Linked DNA regions of Elephas maximus indicus. Each later gene encodes a partner of the first gene's protein in a complex. Links are inferred from orthologs where the notes say so. Each region holds a gene or a part of one and is shown in the gene's direction. Other genes may lie near its edges. The genes, in order: JAML and CXADR.

Region 1 (9,573 bases):
CTTAGAAGTGACTTCATTACTGAGCCGAAAGGATTTCCAGGGGCCATACTCTTGGGGTTTCTCCAGTCTCTGTTAGGCCAGTAAGTCTGGTCTTTTTTTGTGAGCTAGAATTTTGATCTACATTTTTCTCCAGCTCTGTCTGGGACCTTCTATTGTGATCCCTGTCAGAGCAGTCAGTGGTAGTAGCCAGGCACCATCCAGTTGTACCGGACTCAGTCTGGTGGAGGCTGTGGTAGTTGTGGTCCACTAGTCCTTTGGACTAATCTTTCTCTTGTGTTTTTAGTTTTCTTCATTCCTCCTTGCTCCCAAAGGGGTGAGACCAGTGGAGTCTCTTAGATGGCCACTCACAAGATTTTAGGACCCTAGACACTACCTACCAAAGTAGAATGTAGAAGATTTTCTTTATAAACTATGTTATAACACATATTCAAGCCATAACACTGCAGAGTATTTTTTTATTGTGGTAAAAATATGTATAACATAATATTTGCCAATTCAACATTTTTTTACATGTACAATTTAGTACACCCATTATATTAATTATGCTGTGCAACCATCAGGAGTATCCATTGCCAAGTTTAACAGATACTCATTGCTTGCTAAACAATGACTCCCTCTTTTCCCCTCCCTCCTGCCCCTGGTAACCACTGGTAACCTTGGTTTCTATACATTTGCCTATTCTAGATATTTCTTATAAGTAGGATCATATAGTATTTGTCCTTTTGTGACTGACTTATTTCACTCAGCATGTTTTCAAGGTTCATCCATATCATAGCACGTATCAGAGCTTCATTTCTCTTTATGGTGGAGTAGTAGCCCATTGTATACATAGACCATACTTTGTTTATCCCTTCACCTGTTGATGGTCACTTTAGTTATTTCCACCTTTTTGCTGTTGTGAATAGTGCTGCAATGATGGACTTTTAATGAAACAATCCATTGATGGTTTTAAGAGTCAATGTGAACTGATTTATGTTTTCAAAGGATCACTCTGGCTTCTTTGTTGAGAACAGGTGGTAAGGGACCGTACAGAATTAGGGAAACCAATTGAGGGGCTTTAGCAAAGATCTACGTCAGAGAAGATAGTGGTGGTTTGGACTAGGGCGGTGGTGGTAGAGGTGGTGAGAAGTGATTGTATTCTGATTACATTTTGAAGGTAAAGTCAGAAGGATTTGCTGATGGGTTGCAAGGTCCGTTTGGGGGGGGATCCAAACGTGCCATCTTTGCCTAAATTCTGACTGTGTTATTATGTTTCCTATACGCATCACACCAACTGTTCTTTCCCCTCAGGATTCAGACTATGAAGACACATATTAATGCAAGTCTGCATGATTTAAGAAGAGTCACCCATCTGATAATAGAAAACAACTCGTTCCACCGGCCGCTAAAGCCTCTGGGATGAGTGGAGCTGGCCTGGGCAAGCAGTGATGGAGAATTCTGAAAGTCATCAGTAAAGACTTTAGGAACCATTTATTTATTGAAGAAATGTTCTTTTTGTATTTATAAACTGTTCAAAAACTCTCAGAAAAGACTCCTAACTACCCTTTTAATAAGTTATACTTTAATTGAAGAAGGAATTCTTTTCCCAAACAGAAAGATAATTTTGTTTTGCCTTTGCTCTTCGATGTATTACATGTGATCTTCTAATTATTTGAAGGAGAATTCTAAACATTTGCCACTGCTGGTGCCAAAATAGATTTTTTTTTTTTTTTTAAATGAAATGGAGCTTGTAGCTTCCTGATATGCTACCAGACAGAATGTTTGCTTGGGATAAGTATTCCTTGTTTTGTGCTCCGTGGACATTTTCAGCCATGACTTAGCATACAGCATAGACTCATTGGTTTAATGATCTCATCACCATTTGTCTTTGGGTAATCTGAATTGTATAACCTTAATTTCCTTAGAGTTGGTAGGATCAGGAGGCAATGGTTTGCTCTGACTGTGTTTGAAAATATTAAATGAAGTATCATCAATTTAGAATCAACGAAAGAAGTGGTGAGGTAGAGGAATTCCTTTCTTTTGTCTTGCTATGTGCCATTTGGGCCAAGGGGCCATTGTTATTTTCCTTTCTTACAGCTGACCGCTTTATGGTTTTCTTCTTGACTTTTTAGGTCAGAGGGAAAAAACAAAAACAGAAAACAAACCCTTCAAGAGGTTTTCAGTGAGGACTTAGAGACTGTCTTAGCAGTTATTTATAATTAAATCATCTTTTAGTATGTGCTATTTTTCAAAGCTTCTTTGATATCTAAAGTACACCAAATATGCGTACTGTGGTATTTACAGGCTGCCTTTGTTTAGAGATGAGGAAGTGAGGTTGTGCATAACCTATATTTCTTCCTTTTGTGCTTTCAGTACTTTATGACAGCTTCCTCCATTCTCTGATGGCAACTTTTTTTAAGTTTTAATTTGTGTGGGATTTTCTAGAAACCATTAAGAAATGTGTCTGAGCTGTCAGGAAGGATTGGCAGTGTATAGTTAAGTAGTCCTCTGTGATGTAGGGATAAAAATCCTCTGTGATAGAAGAGTTCACTTCTCAATTATGACAGACAACAATGACCCCCTCCTCCCATTTTTGTTTTTTTAAAAGGATGGCCCTTTTCCATTGTTCTCCACTAAGTAGTTCTGGAGCTTTCCATATAGCATTATGTACTGTATATGTTACCGAAAAATCACCTTTCTTTTATATTTTTTGCCAAGATCTATTTTTTTAAAATCTACTTTTGTTAGGTCTGTCTCATAGATTTGGCTTAGCCTCTTTTGTTAACCTAGTGCACAGATTATTAGACATTGGTATTTACCTCTGGTCACGGAAGGAAGTCAGAAGAGGCAAAGGCAGGGTTGGTATTGGCAGTTTACGTTTTCAGTGGTTAAACCTCACGGGTCTTTGGACCACTCGTGGTTGTCTAGGGCCTACCTGGTGAGACCATTTCCGACACCGCGACAGAGAGAGGAAAACAATTTGAGCAATGGGAACAAATAATTAGAGCTCCAGAAGATTTGAAGATAGATACCTGATTGTGAGGGGGCTTTCTGAGGGTCCTCTTTTCTCTAAGAAAGAGATGATGTTACAGGAATGCACTTAAAACTATACCGCATTAAATGAGGAACCAATTTTGGCTGGGTCTTCTTGTTGTGTCCTCACAGGCATGTTGTGGGGATTTTAATCCAGAAGGGTTTTTTTTTTTTTTAGGGTACATTTGTTGTTTTAGGTAAATGGTGCTGTGTGAATACTCACCCAGTCGTGTTATTTTATATCCGTCACCATGATTTGGACCAGTCCCTTCCTTTGTAAAGGACTGAACAATAGAGTCCTTCATGGCAAGGGAGTCAGTTGATAATTTAGTCTACTTCATGCGCCTGTAGTCACATCCCAGTCATGAGGCTGCTATCAACTACCTTCTCCATCCCTTATATCCTTATATTGAGGTCTGATTATAGCTTTTTTCTTCAAGGGAGCACAAAGCAGTGCTTGGATACCTACTTTGTTTAAGAATGGAAGGAAGATAAAGGTTTAGTTTTTTCTTTTTAACCTACTCTTTTAATATCTTCTAAGGTGCTATTCTCTCTCTTTCATTTCTTTTTCTTTTTGCTGCTTCCTGAGTTCTTGTCACACCATAATGAGACTAGCCTTTTCTAGAAAGGAAATTTAATTCTGAAAGCTTCATAAGGGGTTAAAAGTCTTTCAGAGGTTTTCTTTGGCTGCTGAAGTCTTTACTTGTGGTCACACTACCTTATGAGTTTTGTGTATTAAGCTCTTAAGTATGTTACAAAATGTGAACTTATAAAGTACTTTGTGTTTCCCATGTGACCTGTTAACCTCAGGCTACTTGGGGGACATCCCAGTTCCCTGCAGCCCCCAAAATGGGCACGGGTGCTTCAGGAGGGAAGGTCGCATGTCCCTGTTTTTGTTTTTTAATCTGGAGGCCAAATCCTGAATCTGAATGTTCTACTGCATCACTCAGTTACACTCCTAAAGGTGAGCTGCAAGAAGACCCTGAAGGGGTGGACCAAGACTATCATTTAACCGCACAACTCAAAGCTTTGCTGCAGAAGAGGCAGTTCCATCGTTTGACTCCTGTGTCAGATTGTTACTCCTGCATCTCAGCGAGTTTTCTGCTTTTGTCTTTTTGTAGGAGGGTATGCACTGTTGGACATGTGCATAGGCATTGTAACTCTTGGTGTCTTACTGTGTCATAACATTAATAAACTTCTTTGCACTTTCCAGCTGCATTTTGGTGTATATCTACATATAAGATGAAAGCTGTTGTGTGAAAGAGGGTGCTTGTAGTTTTCAATATCAAGCAATAAGTCATCTCTGAGTTGCTCTCAAGCAACAACCTACATAAATTCAGCCATGTGCTGGGGCCGGCTCACACTGCCCACAAGAGCTGACTGCTAAAATTTTAGGATTTTTATGAGCTTGTTTTTAAACTATTGATAGCTCAGAATTGGTTATGTTGGAAATATTTTCACTACAGAAAAAACTAAGGACCATCCAGCATAGACCTTGATAAGAGCAAGCATTGAACAGCTTTTCAAATGATGAATAAGACAAGTTCCATAAAATGAGTACGTACAGATTTTTAGATATAGAAGTCCTAATACCTAAGACAAGGTCAAAGGCATATATATCAAGCACACTTATTTTGAAGTGGTGACTTAAGACCAAGAGATAACTTGGAGTGAAGAAGCCTTGAGTTCTTATCTAGGATGCCCAAGTCATCCAAGGGCCCCCTGGGGGGATAAATTGCTGCCTATATTCTGGAAATGCTGGCATCACACTGCAGGAAATCTACATGTCGGGTGGAAAGTCGGAGGACTAAGCAGGCATATCTTTGGAAGCAGGGGCTGAGCGATTGTTTGGCTATATTGCAACCCTGTGTTGAGAGAAAAAATAAGGGAGACTATTGTATCTTGAACACAGAGCAAAATACTTGTATTAATCTTAAATTTGTTGTATTTTGTCTGTATAAGGCAGATCTCAGCAGATGCTTGCCTGATGCCATTCAAGATCCTACCCTCAGAGAGTTTGTAATCTAGAATGGGAGATGACACCTACAGAGATCTGTAATGTGAGGTTCACCTCAGAAGGTGGATTTATTACCTCTTTAGAATGAAAATATAAATACACATTGGGTAATGGGCCAGATGACTAAAATGGGAACCTCGATTTAGAGGTTCCTGTTTGCATCTCTGCAGCCACCTCAGAACGCACGCATTTGGTCTTGAGCCTGAACTGCTCTGCCGTCCGTGGGAGACTGCAGCTGCATTGCTTCTCCCAGGCGCTCTTCATCTTAGGTAAGCAATTTCCTCGTATTTTTTAGCAGTTGTTTGAACTTGTCTCACTCAGAAGAAGGCTGGTTCTGAAGTTGTTTATTGGAAATCCTTTAGGACTGTGAGACCACAATCACAGAACTCTCAGTCTTAGCAGAGGGACTGTCATGAGGTAGTCTAGTGGTTGTAGTTTTCTGTAGTGTAGAGAAATTTATGTGTAAGATCCTCAGTGAAATGAAGAGCAATGTTTACTTTTAATAAAAAAGCAAGTGATGATGATAAGGCTTTAGCTTTTAAGTTGCCTGTGACTTTAGGTAGAGCTGTGACTAGGTGTCCTTTAGCTTGTGACAGAACTCTTTCTTCATTGTTTCTCTTCTCCCAGTCCTAGACAAGCATATTTAATCTTAAGGATCCAGGAACTTAAACCTCCCAAGAGAACTAGACGACCGTCCATTACATTTTTTGCACCCTCTGCATACTCCTGACATTGGGAAAGACTGATGTGTGATGGTTTAGGTATAACCGATATTGAAGGAGGAACCAAGAGTGCTGACTTCCAAGGTCCCCTTCCAGTAGATGGTTGACTGATGTAACTTGGGTTACATTTAAGAAGCCCTGAGAACTACCAGTCTGTATGAAATGGTCTTGAAAGGAGTGGTTATGTGGACTCGTATACCTAACAACATCTGAGAGCCTGGAGGTTCACAGCAACAGGGAGCTGACTATGTGAGCAATGAAGACTTGGCAGTTGTCTGTTTGCTCAGTAGTTGGTTGTCCTTATGAGGGTGGATACTTTGACCAAGAGACTGAACCTCTTCCTAGTTTTTGTCTGTATAACTTTAGGATGAATAAATGATGATTTGAATAAGTTATATCCTATGACCCTGGGGAAGATTCAGTGTTTTTTTTTTTTTTTTATTGCGAACTTGTTACATTTGGGAGTTGTTTTCATGTCCTGTGAGGTAGTCTCACTGTCATGAGTCTTTTTTCTGAGGATTTTTTTTTCCTGGCATAATTATGTTAAGGATAACAATTTATGGTGGTGTAGTGGTTAAGAGCTACGGCTGCTAACCAAAAGGTCAGGAGTTTGAATCCACCAGGTACTCCTTGGAGACCCTATGGGGCAGTTCTACGGTGTCCTATAGGGTCGCTATGAGTCAGAATTGACTCAATGGCAATGGGTTTTATTCATAATAGGAAAGGGAATCCTGATAGTCACAACCCCCAAACCGCCCTCCCATCCCCAGTAGTTAGAGAAGATGTTTGGCAGGAGGTGTATTGTGAAAGAGGCATGAGCCCAGGTCAAAACGTTTGGCCAACATATGAGATAATTTACTGTAGGTAATTATCTGAAGAATATCTGCTGAGGAGTTAAATCAGTTCTGGAGAAAGGCGAAAGCCAGGGAGAAGGTGAGAATTTTAAATGGAGTCTGTTGTTACCAAGGTTCTTAAGGTGCTTCTGAAGGCTTTGATTGGACACTGGTGATGCAGAGGTGAGCCTACACGGGCACAGTTCTTGGTCTGAAGGAGCTTGTAGTCTTGCAGGTGCAGGTGGAGAGCAAGACTTTGATCAAGTGTGCACATGTATAAATAGATGAGTATAAATTGTGACAAATGCCATAAAGGAAATACAAATATTACTAAGGGATCTGACTTGGTCTAGATGGTTCAGGAAGGCTTCACCCAAGGAAATGACATTGAACTTGAGATCTGACAGATGAACAGGTGCTAACTGGGTAAAGGGGAGAGTGATGGTGATGGGAAGAACATTCCAGTCAGAGGAAGCAGATTACTTTTGTTTTGATAAATTCAGAGGAACTTTGCTCTAAAATATTTCCTTTCACAAATATGGAGAAGCAGTATAATATAGTAAGGACCCAGGCTCTGAAGCCAGACTGTCTGGGTTTGAAACCTGTCTTTGCCTCTTGTTATGTGTTCTCAGGCAAGTCTCTTCATCAATCTGTGCCTCAGTTGCCTCATGTGTAAAACCTCATAGCGTTGATGTGAGCATTAAACGAGTCGATGTGTAGTAGTGCTCTGACAGTGCCCGGCAGATGACCTCCCTGGGTTTATTGCATATCAACTACTGATTTCTAGTGTGCTGCCTATTAACCAGGAAGATGTTAAGGATGAGGTCCAGAGAGGTTGACTGATTCCCCAAAGATCAAAGGGTTAGCTAATGGAAGGTCCGACCTTGGAAGAAATTTTTATTCATTTATTTTTTAAAACTAATTCAATGCTTTCTCTACTAAAATCATTGCTTCTCCATTCATTCACACAGAGTAGTAATGGTGCATTTGGCTATTTAGGGCTGAAAATGGATGTTGTAGATTCATCAGATTGTTTGCACCTTTCTTCCAATGTTTGAAAATGATTTGGGTGTGGCCCTGAATGAATCAGGTTTGGTGACTAGATCGAGAGTCTTTATGGGGTTTCCTTTTAGAATAGAGTAGTGTAGGATGTCTCTAAGGTGATTTCGGTTTAATGGTCACACTGACAGCTCTCAGTATATCTGGCATGTGCCAGGCACTTTATCAGATGGTGTAGCACAAGAATAAGATACAAACATAAACAAGACATGCATGGTCCTGCCCTGGAGAATGTGCAGACTAGAAGAGGGTTTGGTGTCAGACACGTAAACCAATCATACCAGTTACCGGTTGCCCTCAAGTCAAACCTGATTCGTGATGACCACATGTGTGTCAGAGTAGAACTGTGCTCCATAGGATTTTAAGTGGCTGATTATTCGGAAGCAGAGTGCCGGGTCTTTCTTCCGAGGCACCTCTGGGTGGACTCAAACCTCCAATCTTTTAGTTAGCAGCCAAGTGTGTTAACCATTTGTATCATCCAGGGACTCCAAAAAATCCTCCCCTTCTGTGCAAATGGTACACTGCTGGGGGAATGTACAAGTGCTGCTTGTTGGGCAAGAGAGGAGCACAACCAACTCTCTGGGGAGGATTTATACAGAAGTTGACAGTGATCTGGATGTCCCAGATATGATAATTAAGATTATGACATGCTGTAAAAGAAGCCGTTTATAACCCTCACCCATGTGTATTGGGGTGAGGTCGGGGGATGGAGCAGGAGAAGGGCTATGGCTGTCTTGAGACAAATCCATGTTTTCATTAGATGTACTTATGTTTGGGGGAACTTAACATGACTCTTGGAATATCTGGGTCCAAAACCAAACCCGCTGCCGCCGAGTCAATTCCAACTCATAGCGACCCTATAGTGCCCCTATAGGACAGAGTAGAACTGCCCCATAGAGTTTCCAAGGAACACCTGGTAGATTCGAACTACCTACCTTTTGGTTAGCAGACGTAGCTCTTAACCACTACGCCACCAGGATTTCCATATCTGGATCAGCGTAATTAACATCCACAATTTTATAATGGGGCTCAAAAATTGAAACATAGCCTTTCCAGTTCATTCTCAGTCACCACGTGCCATTCAGGAAAAAGTACAAGCTCAGAACCTAAAATATCCCTTCTGAAGCTAGAAGTTCTGTTTTCTTTCTGACTAATAAGTTGTAAAAAATAGAAACTTATATGGTAATGCTTTCTATTTTTCAAATCACTTTCACATTATTACATTTGATCCTCGCATTATTGTTCCGTGTTATAGGTGAGGAAACTGAGGTTCAGCAAGGTCAACTGACTTGTATGAGTAAATGGGGTCTAGGGTTGGGTGTCCTTGACCCTGATTTTCCAGATGGAGGCATTTGTTGATTAGAGTATAGGCGAGGAATGTCTTATGTAGTCATGTTTTATAAATTAAAATGATCACCATTTTTTATTCTTAAAATGGATAAATGTGCCAGACTTCCCCTCAGATCTGAGTGGGGTATTGTGCTGTTAAGGCACTAGAAAAACCTCTCCCTCCAGCAGATTTCTGAGGTGGATTCTTCCAGTGTCAAGCTGGTCGGCGGCTGGATCATGGCTGAGACCAGGCACAGTTATAGGTAGGAACCTAAGACTGGTTGAACTGTACTCCTTGAAGTTAGGGTTCTCCTGTTTAGCTAAGCAAATTTGGGGGCATTGTGTTAAATGGTGAATCCTTTCCCAGGAGCTGGTGAAAATGCAGTGAAATTAACACCACAGAGATAATATAAACATTAAAAAAATACTTTTGCCCACGCACGGCCCAATTTTCATCCTACCCACACCTCCCTGCCTAAAAAAGGAAAAAAAACCTCGCCATAAACCTTTCATGTGGCTTCTTTGTGTCACGGAACTTGGTTAATATCTTATTTGAGCCTAAATTTTCCCCTTATTTGTGTTTCTCCTTTTCTACATGTCC
Region 2 (9,521 bases), on another chromosome or scaffold:
AGAAGGGGAGAAAAATGTGGAACGAAACTCAAATTCCTAAAAAAGGCCAGACTTACTCTACTGCTGGAGACTAGAGGAACCCCCAAGACTATCACTGTAAAATACCCTTTGAACTTGGAACCGAAGCCACTCCCAGTGATCATTTTTCATCTAAATAATAGATTGGCTTATAAAATAAACCATATCACTCAGGAGTACCAAAAGCCGAAACCTGTTGCTGTTGATTCCGACTCACAGCGACCCTATAGGGCAGAGTAGAACTGCCCCAGAGGGTCTCCAAGGAGCAGCTGATAAATTCAAACTGCCAACGTTTTGGTTAGTAGCTGTAGCTCTTGATCACTGCGCCACCGGGGCTCCACTTGTGAGTACAATGCTCCCTTAAATAATCAACTATAGGAAACCAAATGGTCAATACTTACCCTAAAACAAAGATGAGACGCTAAGGAGGGTCAGGGAAGCTCATCACCACCACACCAGTCATCAGTCCTCTGGGACAGAGTAGAACTGCCCCACAGGGTTTCCAAGGCTGTAATCTTTGCAAAGGAGCCCTGGTGGTGCAGTAGTTAAGAGCTTGGCTGCTAACCAAAGGTTGGCAGTTCAAATCCACTAGCTACTACCTAGAAATAACTTTTTGGTTTTAATCTCTGTGGAAGCAGACTGCCACATCTTTGTCCAGCAAAGCAACTGGTGGGTTCAAACAGCCAACTTTTCAGTTAGTAGCCAAGCCCTTAACCACTATACCACTGGGACTCCTTCAGGGAGGCCAGATTAATAGAACAGAAAAGAAATAGTGAGAATGTTGACACACTGTGAAAAATGTAACCAATGTAATGGAATAATTTGTATAAAAATTGTTACATGGGAACCTAATTTGCTGTGTAAACTTTCATCTAAAACACAGTAAAATATTAAAAAAAAAAGAATGATGGCAAATTAAAAATAGGTATTTTTAGACAGACAAAAATACCTTCCAGAGATCCTCAGTAAAGGAATTTCTAAAGGATATAATTCTGGAACAAGGAAGGTGATCTCAAAAGTGGTTTGAGATGCAAGAAGGGAATGGTAAACAAGGAAACAATAATGATAATAACAGATAACATCATCTGAGTACTTACTAGGTTCCAGGCACCATGCTAAATGCAGTATGTGGATTAACTCACTCAAGAAAATTTCCCAGAAGGAAATGCATCTGCAGTCCCACTGAATGCCTCACATAACGGATAAAAATAAGAATTCTGCAGCAAAGAGGGAGCCCCCTCCGTAGCATAAATGGTTTAGTGTAGGGTTATTAACCAAAAAGCTGTCAGTTTGAGCCCGCCCAAAAGATCAGGTCACAGCCCTGAAAACCCTATGGAGGCCAGCTCTCTGAAGCATGTGGGGTCACCATGAGTTGAAATCGATTCGATGGCAACTGGTTTTTGGTTTTTTTGGAGGGGTAAAGAAAAGTTACTACAATCAAAGAGAAAAAGTAGAAACTCCAGCTTAATGCAGGGGATCTTTAAAACCAAAATCAAACCCGTTGCCATCGACTTGATTCCGACTCATAGCAACCATCTCTCTAGGACAGAGCAGAACTGCTCCATAGGGTTTCCAAGAAGCAGCTGGTGAATTTCAACTGCTCATCTTTTGGTTAATAGAACAAACAGCCAAGCTCTTAACCAGGCCTCCTTTAGCTACATAAGGGGGGAAAAAGCCTTTTCATTTGTGAGTTTTATAAAGGTATCTTTACATGCCTACAATTTTGGTCTGTATAAACTTATCACTTTTGTGTATTTATTTTGGAATTTGCATTATCAGGAACCTAAAAAAAAAAAAGCAAGAAAAAGATCCAACATTGCTAGGTCACTGGCTAAGGGCTGATTTATGAATATTAGAGTATTAGTGTTTATGTACATAAAACTAAAAATGCTTATATTTATAATGCATTGCTTAAGGGTAAATAGATGACTTTCTCTCATTAGAACAAGATGATAAGTTTTTTGCTGATATTAATCTAAAAAAACCAGTGTTCTGAACAACATACAGTTCACAAGCAAGAAAACTGTTGTTTCTTAAAAAAAGCATTATCACTTTCTAGAAATTATAAAACTCAGTGGTGTCATGTATGATAGGAAGTTCCGTATTTCACATACCTTCATATTCGGAGCTAGTAGAAGTGAAAAGCCTTTCATTCTTAAGGTAAATCAACCCCCGAATATGATAGTAGGATTTTAATCATCTGTGGGTGTGTCGAAAGATCATTACTGCTGAGAGATCTTTGTAAAGGCGAATGCTTTATTAACCACTGAGTTATTTATGTCTCTATAATTACCACCTTCTTGACGGACCAGAATCACCTTTCCGCTGGTTTAGAGGCTATACCATGAGGAGTTCATAGAGCTTTACTAAGACAGAACAATTCATTTAATGGTTGTGTGCTATTTGTTAGCTTGGTTTGAGGATACCCAACAATGTATAATTGTATGTTCTGGAATTAATGAGACTGTCACAAAGCAACATCAAAAAGTGACTTCATATATGTGTTTAAAGAACATTAGCTCCCTAAATAAGGTAAGCTGCTCTTTTCATAGTTCATTAAATCTCAGAGATGATACATTTTTAAAGCTTTGAGATCAGTAATTCAAAGAAGTATATAAAACATTCAGCTTGTAAAATTTTTTTTAAAAGTCCATTCTAAAAATTGAAGATGTAATATTTGTGATTTATTGTATGGATATTTAAACAACTTTTATTAACACACGATACAGAAAATGAACATTCAACTCAATACTTGAGAGCCTACTATGTGCTGTGCTTCCATGAGCAACAAAGATGAATGATGGGCCTTTTCAGCCTTGTAAGGATGCTCAGAGTAAGGGAAGTGACTTAAAAAAAAAAAAAATTTTTTTTTGTATGCAAATGACTACCACAGGAGGAGGCAGAGGTAAGGATTACTAAAAAAAAAAAAAAAAAAAGGAGGAAAGGGATTAAGACGAAAAGTCTTTTGGGCAATCTCTATAGATTTACTGTAGTAACTGGTTGAAATGAACCCTGAAGGGTGGATTTGGTTTCTACCTGGAGGAGGCATTAAGTGTACAACTTTATAATAAGTGTGTGCTACTATGAAGCAGTTAATACTAAGAAAGGTTCTCATGAAACAGTTTGAAATAGGTAAGAGCAACTTCAATACTTAATCTCTTCTACTTAATTCCATAAAGTATGATGTAGTGATTAAAAATGTAAATTCCAAATATTATGTATCTACAATTATATCCAGTAGAATTCTTGTTTCCTCAATGAATAGGAAGTCTGAAGCAGTTACTCATCCTGTCTCATGTCTATACTCCTTGGATATGCCAAGATTCTACTTAAGACAAGTTAAATCAGAATCACTGGAGTGGAGCTGTAACAGTGGTATTTTTAAGTTCTCCACATGATTTTAATGTGCCTCTAGGGGTGCAAACCACCAGGCTAAATTGAAGTTGGACAGTTTTGGTCTTCATGATAACAGATTTACTTCCTTTGCCCTTTCTCTTTTCTGCTGCAGTAAACAAGAATTTTTCAATATTATCTTTATTAGCAGCTGCCACTTACTGAGTATTTACTATGTGCCAGGCACTCTATGGCAAACATTTTTTGTGCATTATCTTGTGTAATTTTCATAGCAATCCCCTGAGGTAGGTGCTATTTCTAAATAAGTTGCCCAGTTATTGCCCCACTGTGGAGTCCAAGCTCTTCGCCACTGCACCACACGGTTCTCCTCTATCTCACTCCTGATATGGAACTAACTGTTCACAACTCCCAAATATCTCTGCAGTTATAAATAAACCTTATCTGGGAGGAGCAACCCCAGAAGGGGCAGCAAAATGACACACAAGCAAGTACTGAGGACACCAGGAGACAAAAGCGACAGTGAAGCGTTGACGGGGACACTCAAGACATCTAAATCCCCGCATTCCCACCCCCAGGCCTTTAACCACCCCTACTTAGCCCCATTTTAAAAACTCACTCATCCTTATCCAAGAATTTCAGCGTTAGTGGTTGGGTGCCCTGGAGTCGATTTTGACTCATAGCAACCCCATATGACCGAGTAGGATTGCCCTGTAGGGTTTTCTAGGCAGTAATCTTTAAGGGAAGCAGATTGCCAGGTCTTTCGCTCGCGAAGCCCCCGGGTGGGTTCGAACCACCAACCTTTCGGTTAGCGCTGCAGTACCAGGTCTCCTTAAATAGAATATCCTTTAAATGCAAGGAAAAAACAAAAAACTGGGTATGTTCCAAATCCATAGTCGCAGTTTGGCGGTTCGTCATTGCTGGAAGTTGAGAAGTCTTCTCAAAGGCAGCGAGCAAGTGGGGGTGTGTGCCCAGCCCGCGTCGCCTAGACTCAGGCGTGAGCGCCCAGCCCTGCAGGAAGCGCGGAGATGGGGCGGTGGTCCCTCATCCCCTGCGTCCCCGAGGGCCGGGCGGGGTGGGCGCCGGAGCGCCGGGCTGGGGTGGGCTGCAGCGCCGACGGCATTAGCCGCCCTTCAGGGTCGGAGGGAGGCGGTGAGGATAATCCCGCGCCGCGGCCGGGGCGAGCGCGCGACCGCAGTTTCAGTTGCCTGGGGAGAGAGCCTGACCCGGCTCCCGGGCACAAAACCCCCACGTTTAGTCGGAGGCGTGGAGGCAGCACCCCGGCTCAGGCTCGAGGCGGGCGCCACCCCGGCACCCCGAAGCGCTGCGCTGCGGCGGGCGCGACAGTTCGCTGCCCCGAGAGTCCCCGCGGGCAGCCCCCGCGCAGCTCCCGGTTGCCATGGCAACCCCACGCGGCGGGCGGACCGGGAGCCGTAGGGCCGAGCCGCAGCCGGAAGTGACGCGACTTCACCTGCGGAGCGAGGGCGGGGGTGCAGAGGTGCCGCGCCGCCGCCGCGAACCAGTCGGGAACGCGCGAGGCGCGGGGAGACCTGGACCCCGGGCGACAGCCGCATACCTGCCACCGCCGCCCACGGCCGGGCCGCCACCATGGCGCTTCTGCTGAGCTTCGTGCTCCTGTGCGGATTCGCGGGTACGTGCAGGCGAGGCGGCTCCCGGCACCGCGCCGCCGGCCCAGCCCGCGGCCGCCCGGGAACAATGGGCGTGGGGGAGGGGGCTGGCGCGGTTCGGGGGCGCCGTGCGGTGGTGGGGTGCGGGCTGCACTGCTCGCCGTGGTTTGGGGCTGGGCGCGCGAGCCAGGAGGGTGCGGCGGCCGGGCGGGCCGGGCGCGCTAGCGGAGCTCGGGTTCGCGGGTGGGCGCGGCGCGCGGTGCCCCCGACGGCTCCCAGACCGTGTTTGCCGCGGGTGCGGGCTGTGCCTCGTACGCTCCTGCCCTTTCCGTTGTTAGCCTCCGGATCACGTTCGTCCAGGATTACCCGATTTCAAAAGCCTCGGGCGGCGGGTTTTCAGGTGTCGAGCAGTCCAGGCATAGAGGCTGAATTACAAACGCCATTATTCAGTAGCCACCGCGCTTTTCAGTGCCGCGGATCGTCCAAGGTACGTCTAGGAAGGAGGCGCTGAAGGAGTGCTATCCTAGGCTTTCTTGATCTCGTACAAGAGGCAAGCCCCGGCAAGAGACGGATGGGTGAATCACGAGGTAGACCGTGGGAAATCAAAATAGGTTTCTGCAAAAACGCAGTATTGATTTCTGCAGTCCAGAGCAAAGGGAAATTTAGTAACCTCGGTTGTGAGTTTGAAATCATTTGGTTCGTTTTGAAGATAAAACGGGATGGGGTGGCTTGTACGGGGTAATTCCTTCACCAAGTACGTTTTTGGTCTGTGCCTTACTCTGGGAGGGGGGAAAAGGGTATTTAAAAAATGCGCTGGCCATTAGAAAACATAATCATTTTGACACTTAAGAACCTGATCAGTTTCTCTATCAGTGTTTCAACCAGCGAATCTTGTTTGTCAGGCTAAGCATACGTCGCCTTTTATATACTCGAAAGAGAAAAAATCCATAGGTGGGGCCATAGGAGGCACACTTTGTAGCCTCCGGAAGGATAATAGTGCTCTGTAAAGCATGATCCGGTGGCTCTTTTCTGTTGGGATGGCTCTCTGCTTCCTGTTGAAATGTTAATGCCATTGTTGGATACCACAGCTGTGAGCATTACTCATGTGATCAGCAGTCAATTAACAAGTCAAATCTTTGATCAAGGAGCCCTGGTGTCCGAGTGATTCAGTGCTTGGCTGCCAACCCACATGTCATCGGTTCGAACCCACCCAGAGGCTCCTTGAGAGCAAGACCTGGTGATGTGCTCCCGTAAAGATTACACCCATGAAAACCCTATGGGGCAATTCTGCTCTATCACATGGGATCACTATGAGTTGAAATCAACTTGACAGCACCCAGCAATCTCCCATCAAAGTTTGTAGCACTGCCTTCACCTTTACATGTAATTTAGACTCGGTTTAAATTTCCAAAGTAAAGCTTCCTGAAAAGATTAAAGGTTACGTCACCAGTTTACATGGCATGTGTACGTTCCTACCTTTGTTTTGTCAAGACTGAAAAAGCTGAAGTTGGCAATGTGTATGTTCTCTTAGAGGAGAAAAAGCATTTTAGACCACATCTAAATCAGAGAAGTGTAAGAACATAGAGGACATCCCCCCCACCCCGGCTATCCAAACCAAACCCATTGCTATGGAGTTGATTCCGACTCATAGCGACCCTACAGGACAGAGTAGAATTGCTCCACAGGGTTTCCAAGGCATGCCTGGTGGATTTGAACTACCGACCCTTTGACCAGCAGCTGTAGCTCTTAATCACTGCGCCACCAGCTATCCAGATTATAGTATTTCATTTCTTCTGGAATGCCTCACTTTGATGGACACATTCTCAGCCAAGGCTATTTTGATACATATAAAGTTGTTGCGCTCATAGTGTGTACACCAGGGTACAGCGAACATCACCTTAGAGGACATCATGGTTAGCTAAACAAGACAACTTTTTATTCTAATTGTCCGTCTTAGAAATCAACTCAGAAACTGGAATTGATACCTGGCTTTGAGTACTTCACCTATTTCTGACCATTTTAGAAATGTGTTGCTAAGAACTCAAGTTCAGTATTAACATGATATGTCTCCTACATTGGTAAATCAAAGTGGAGGCTTACGTATTAGAAATTGCAGTGCTGTCTGTGATAGATTCTCCTTTAGACCTGTCTCTGTGTAGGTAGTAAAGAGTGTTGTGTTTTGGATGTTGATGGGATTCCTTTTCGTGCATTATTATTGCTTACCTAGTGCCAAGTCTTACTACTAGTAGCAGTTCTCTATTACTACCACTGCTGTTTACAGTAGTGGCAGCAGTAAAACGGTAGTAGCAGCCCCCAGCCAAACCATTGCCGCCAGAGTCGATTTCAACGTATAATGACCCTACAGGACAGCGTAGAACTGCATCATGGGATTTCCAAGGTTGTAAATCTTTACGGAAGTTGACTGCCACATTTTTTCTCCTGTGGAGCAGCTGGTGGGTTTGAACTGCTGACCTTCTGGTAAACAGCTGGGCACTTAACCACTGTGCCACCAGGGCACATGGTAGTAGTAGCAATAGTACTAAAATTAATCCCTTAATTAAGCACTTATTAAATGCCAGGTGCTGTTCTAAGAGTTTTACATATACTCGCTTAATCTTCCTAAAAAAACCCAGGGCCATCAAGTCGATTCCTACTCGTACCGACCTTCCTAGCAACCGTAATTACCCTTGTTGTACAAGTGGGAAAAACAGGCACAGAGCGAGTAAATGACTTAGCTTGCTAGGATTACGAAATTGCTCCTGAATCTGTGCCCTTATCTGTGCTATTCTGCCTTTCAAGCAGCCAGATACTTCACTCTTTGATTGCCTCTAATCGACGTCCTAATGTCTACCATTGGTCGTCTGTCATTTATTAAGAATCTGTTGTTGGCTTGACTTTGTGCCAAGCACTGAGGGCTTTTATTATGAGCCCTTTAATTTCCTGATCTTAGTTAAATTCTTTCAGGCACTACAAGAGCACTAGTATTCTTCAGGGCTGAGACCGTGGTTGTAAACTGACCCGTGTACCCACAAAAGTTTGGGGTGCTTCTGTTTTCATGCTGTCAATGTGAGTGGAACTGAAAAAGGACTGGTCAGTGATTCTGGTCCCTCAACCATGTTTGACGATGGGCGGGCCTCTGTCCTCTTCTGTTGCCTCAGTTGCTTTATGTATTAAGAATGAGACCCATGCTATCTCAGAGTTGTAGTGGGGAGTGAAAGATATTTTATCACTTTACCTGAAATCTTTTCCTTTAAGTTAAAAAAAAAATTAAGGTTATTAGGTACGAACTTTATCTCCTCTGTGTGCTTTCCTCTAATATTTATATTCCTGCCATCATCCCACCATCTGAACAAAAGTTGCCTCCAAGGCTAGCCTGCCTACGCTGACTCCTTTGTTGTAGAATCTGCTTCTGTTACCAGATGTATCTCTTTGCACTAGATCAAAGGGCAAGAGCATTGTCTGTATTGTTCGCTGTTACAGTCTCAGTGTCAGCTCCTGGGGCACGGCTGACAGCAAGGGTTCAGCCAGTGTTTGTTGTATAACTATTTTTAACCCATTTTCTGCTAGGCATGTGTGTGTGTGTACACGCAGTTATGCACACACAGATGTATACATACACCTCACTTATCGACTATGTTGTTATGTGACGTTTCACATTTACAACAATAGTAAAAAAATCTACTCTTCAGCTATTTTGTGCGTTAATAACATATGTTTGGCAGTAACAAACACAGGCACAGGGCAAGAGTAACACTGGCTGTGATGGTTAAGGTTATGTGTCACCTTGGCTGGGCCGTGATTCCCAGTGGTTTGGCAGTTACATGGTGATATAATTTGGCAATTCTGTCATGATGATGTCATTTGGCAGTTAAGTAATGAAGTAGACATTCTTCATTTTGTGATATGTTGTCGTGCTACATTGTCACATAATGCCGATTTTGCATGATGATCTGGTCTTTGGAACCTAACCGTATCGATAAGTGAAGAGAAGGCTGTGTGTGTGTGTATAATACAATTCCATTTCCCTTTTTCTCCCTTCTCGTCCTAGAAAGATTGTCCTTACAGTAGTCATTCCACTGGCCCACTAACATTTTCTCATTCGATTGTTAGCATAAAGAAATTGAGACTTTATCTCTGGCCTTATTCAATTCCACCCCTTTGCTTCAGTTGCTAGAGGTGACGGTAAGGCATGTGCCAAATCCATCACCCCTCTAGATCTCCTTCACACGTGTCTTTGTTCTTTCCCAACCTGTTGACCTCCCCTTCACTGCCTTTCTTCTCCAGTAGTCCGCCTTCCCTATGGTTTGGCACATACCCCTTGTCTCAGTCGTCATTTAAACCTGGGTGACCTTATCTACCTATCAGGTACCCTCCAGGTAATTGCTAGAGACTTACAAATATTTCCAACTCAGCCCACGTCTCCTTTGAATCCTGAGCCATTGTTTCCAACTGCCCAATATTCACCCTCCACCTGAATGCGCTTACCTCATACTCTGCATGTCCCCTGCTGAACTCGTCAGTTTT

Evidence for each region.
Region 2: the proteins of JAML (region 1) and CXADR are in contact, whole or in part, in a crystal structure (PDB 3MJ7), measured with the Mus musculus proteins. The link is inferred for Elephas maximus indicus from reciprocal best matches to the Homo sapiens genes JAML and CXADR. Residues at the interface, in NP_001005421.3 of Mus musculus: Arg57, Asp59, Ala69, Tyr72, Phe75, Tyr77, Leu80, Val82, Glu120, Arg122, Ser127, Met128, Val129, Met130, Lys131; in NP_001020363.1 of Mus musculus: Thr23, Gly51, Pro52, Asp54, Glu56, Leu58, Ser60, Gln65, Ile66, Val67, Asp68, Gln69, Val70, Leu73, Tyr83, Lys121, Lys123, Lys124, Ala125, Pro126, Gly127, Val128, Asn130.

Annotation. Positions count from the first base shown.
Region 1 is NC_064835.1:10,661,293-10,670,865, reverse strand, and holds the start of JAML (junctional adhesion molecule-like), read left to right. Parts: upstream 1-5,191; 5' UTR 5,192-5,298; intron 5,299-9,573. Other genes in the region: MPZL3 (myelin protein zero-like protein 3), read left to right, coding at 1,291-1,317. UniProt on the Homo sapiens protein: Transmembrane protein of the plasma membrane of leukocytes that control their migration and activation through interaction with CXADR, a plasma membrane receptor found on adjacent epithelial and endothelial cells.
Region 2 is NC_064836.1:44,146,335-44,155,855, reverse strand, and holds the start of CXADR (coxsackievirus and adenovirus receptor), read left to right. Parts: upstream 1-4,843; 5' UTR 4,844-4,977; coding exon 4,978-5,020; intron 5,021-9,521. UniProt on the Homo sapiens protein: Component of the epithelial apical junction complex that may function as a homophilic cell adhesion molecule and is essential for tight junction integrity.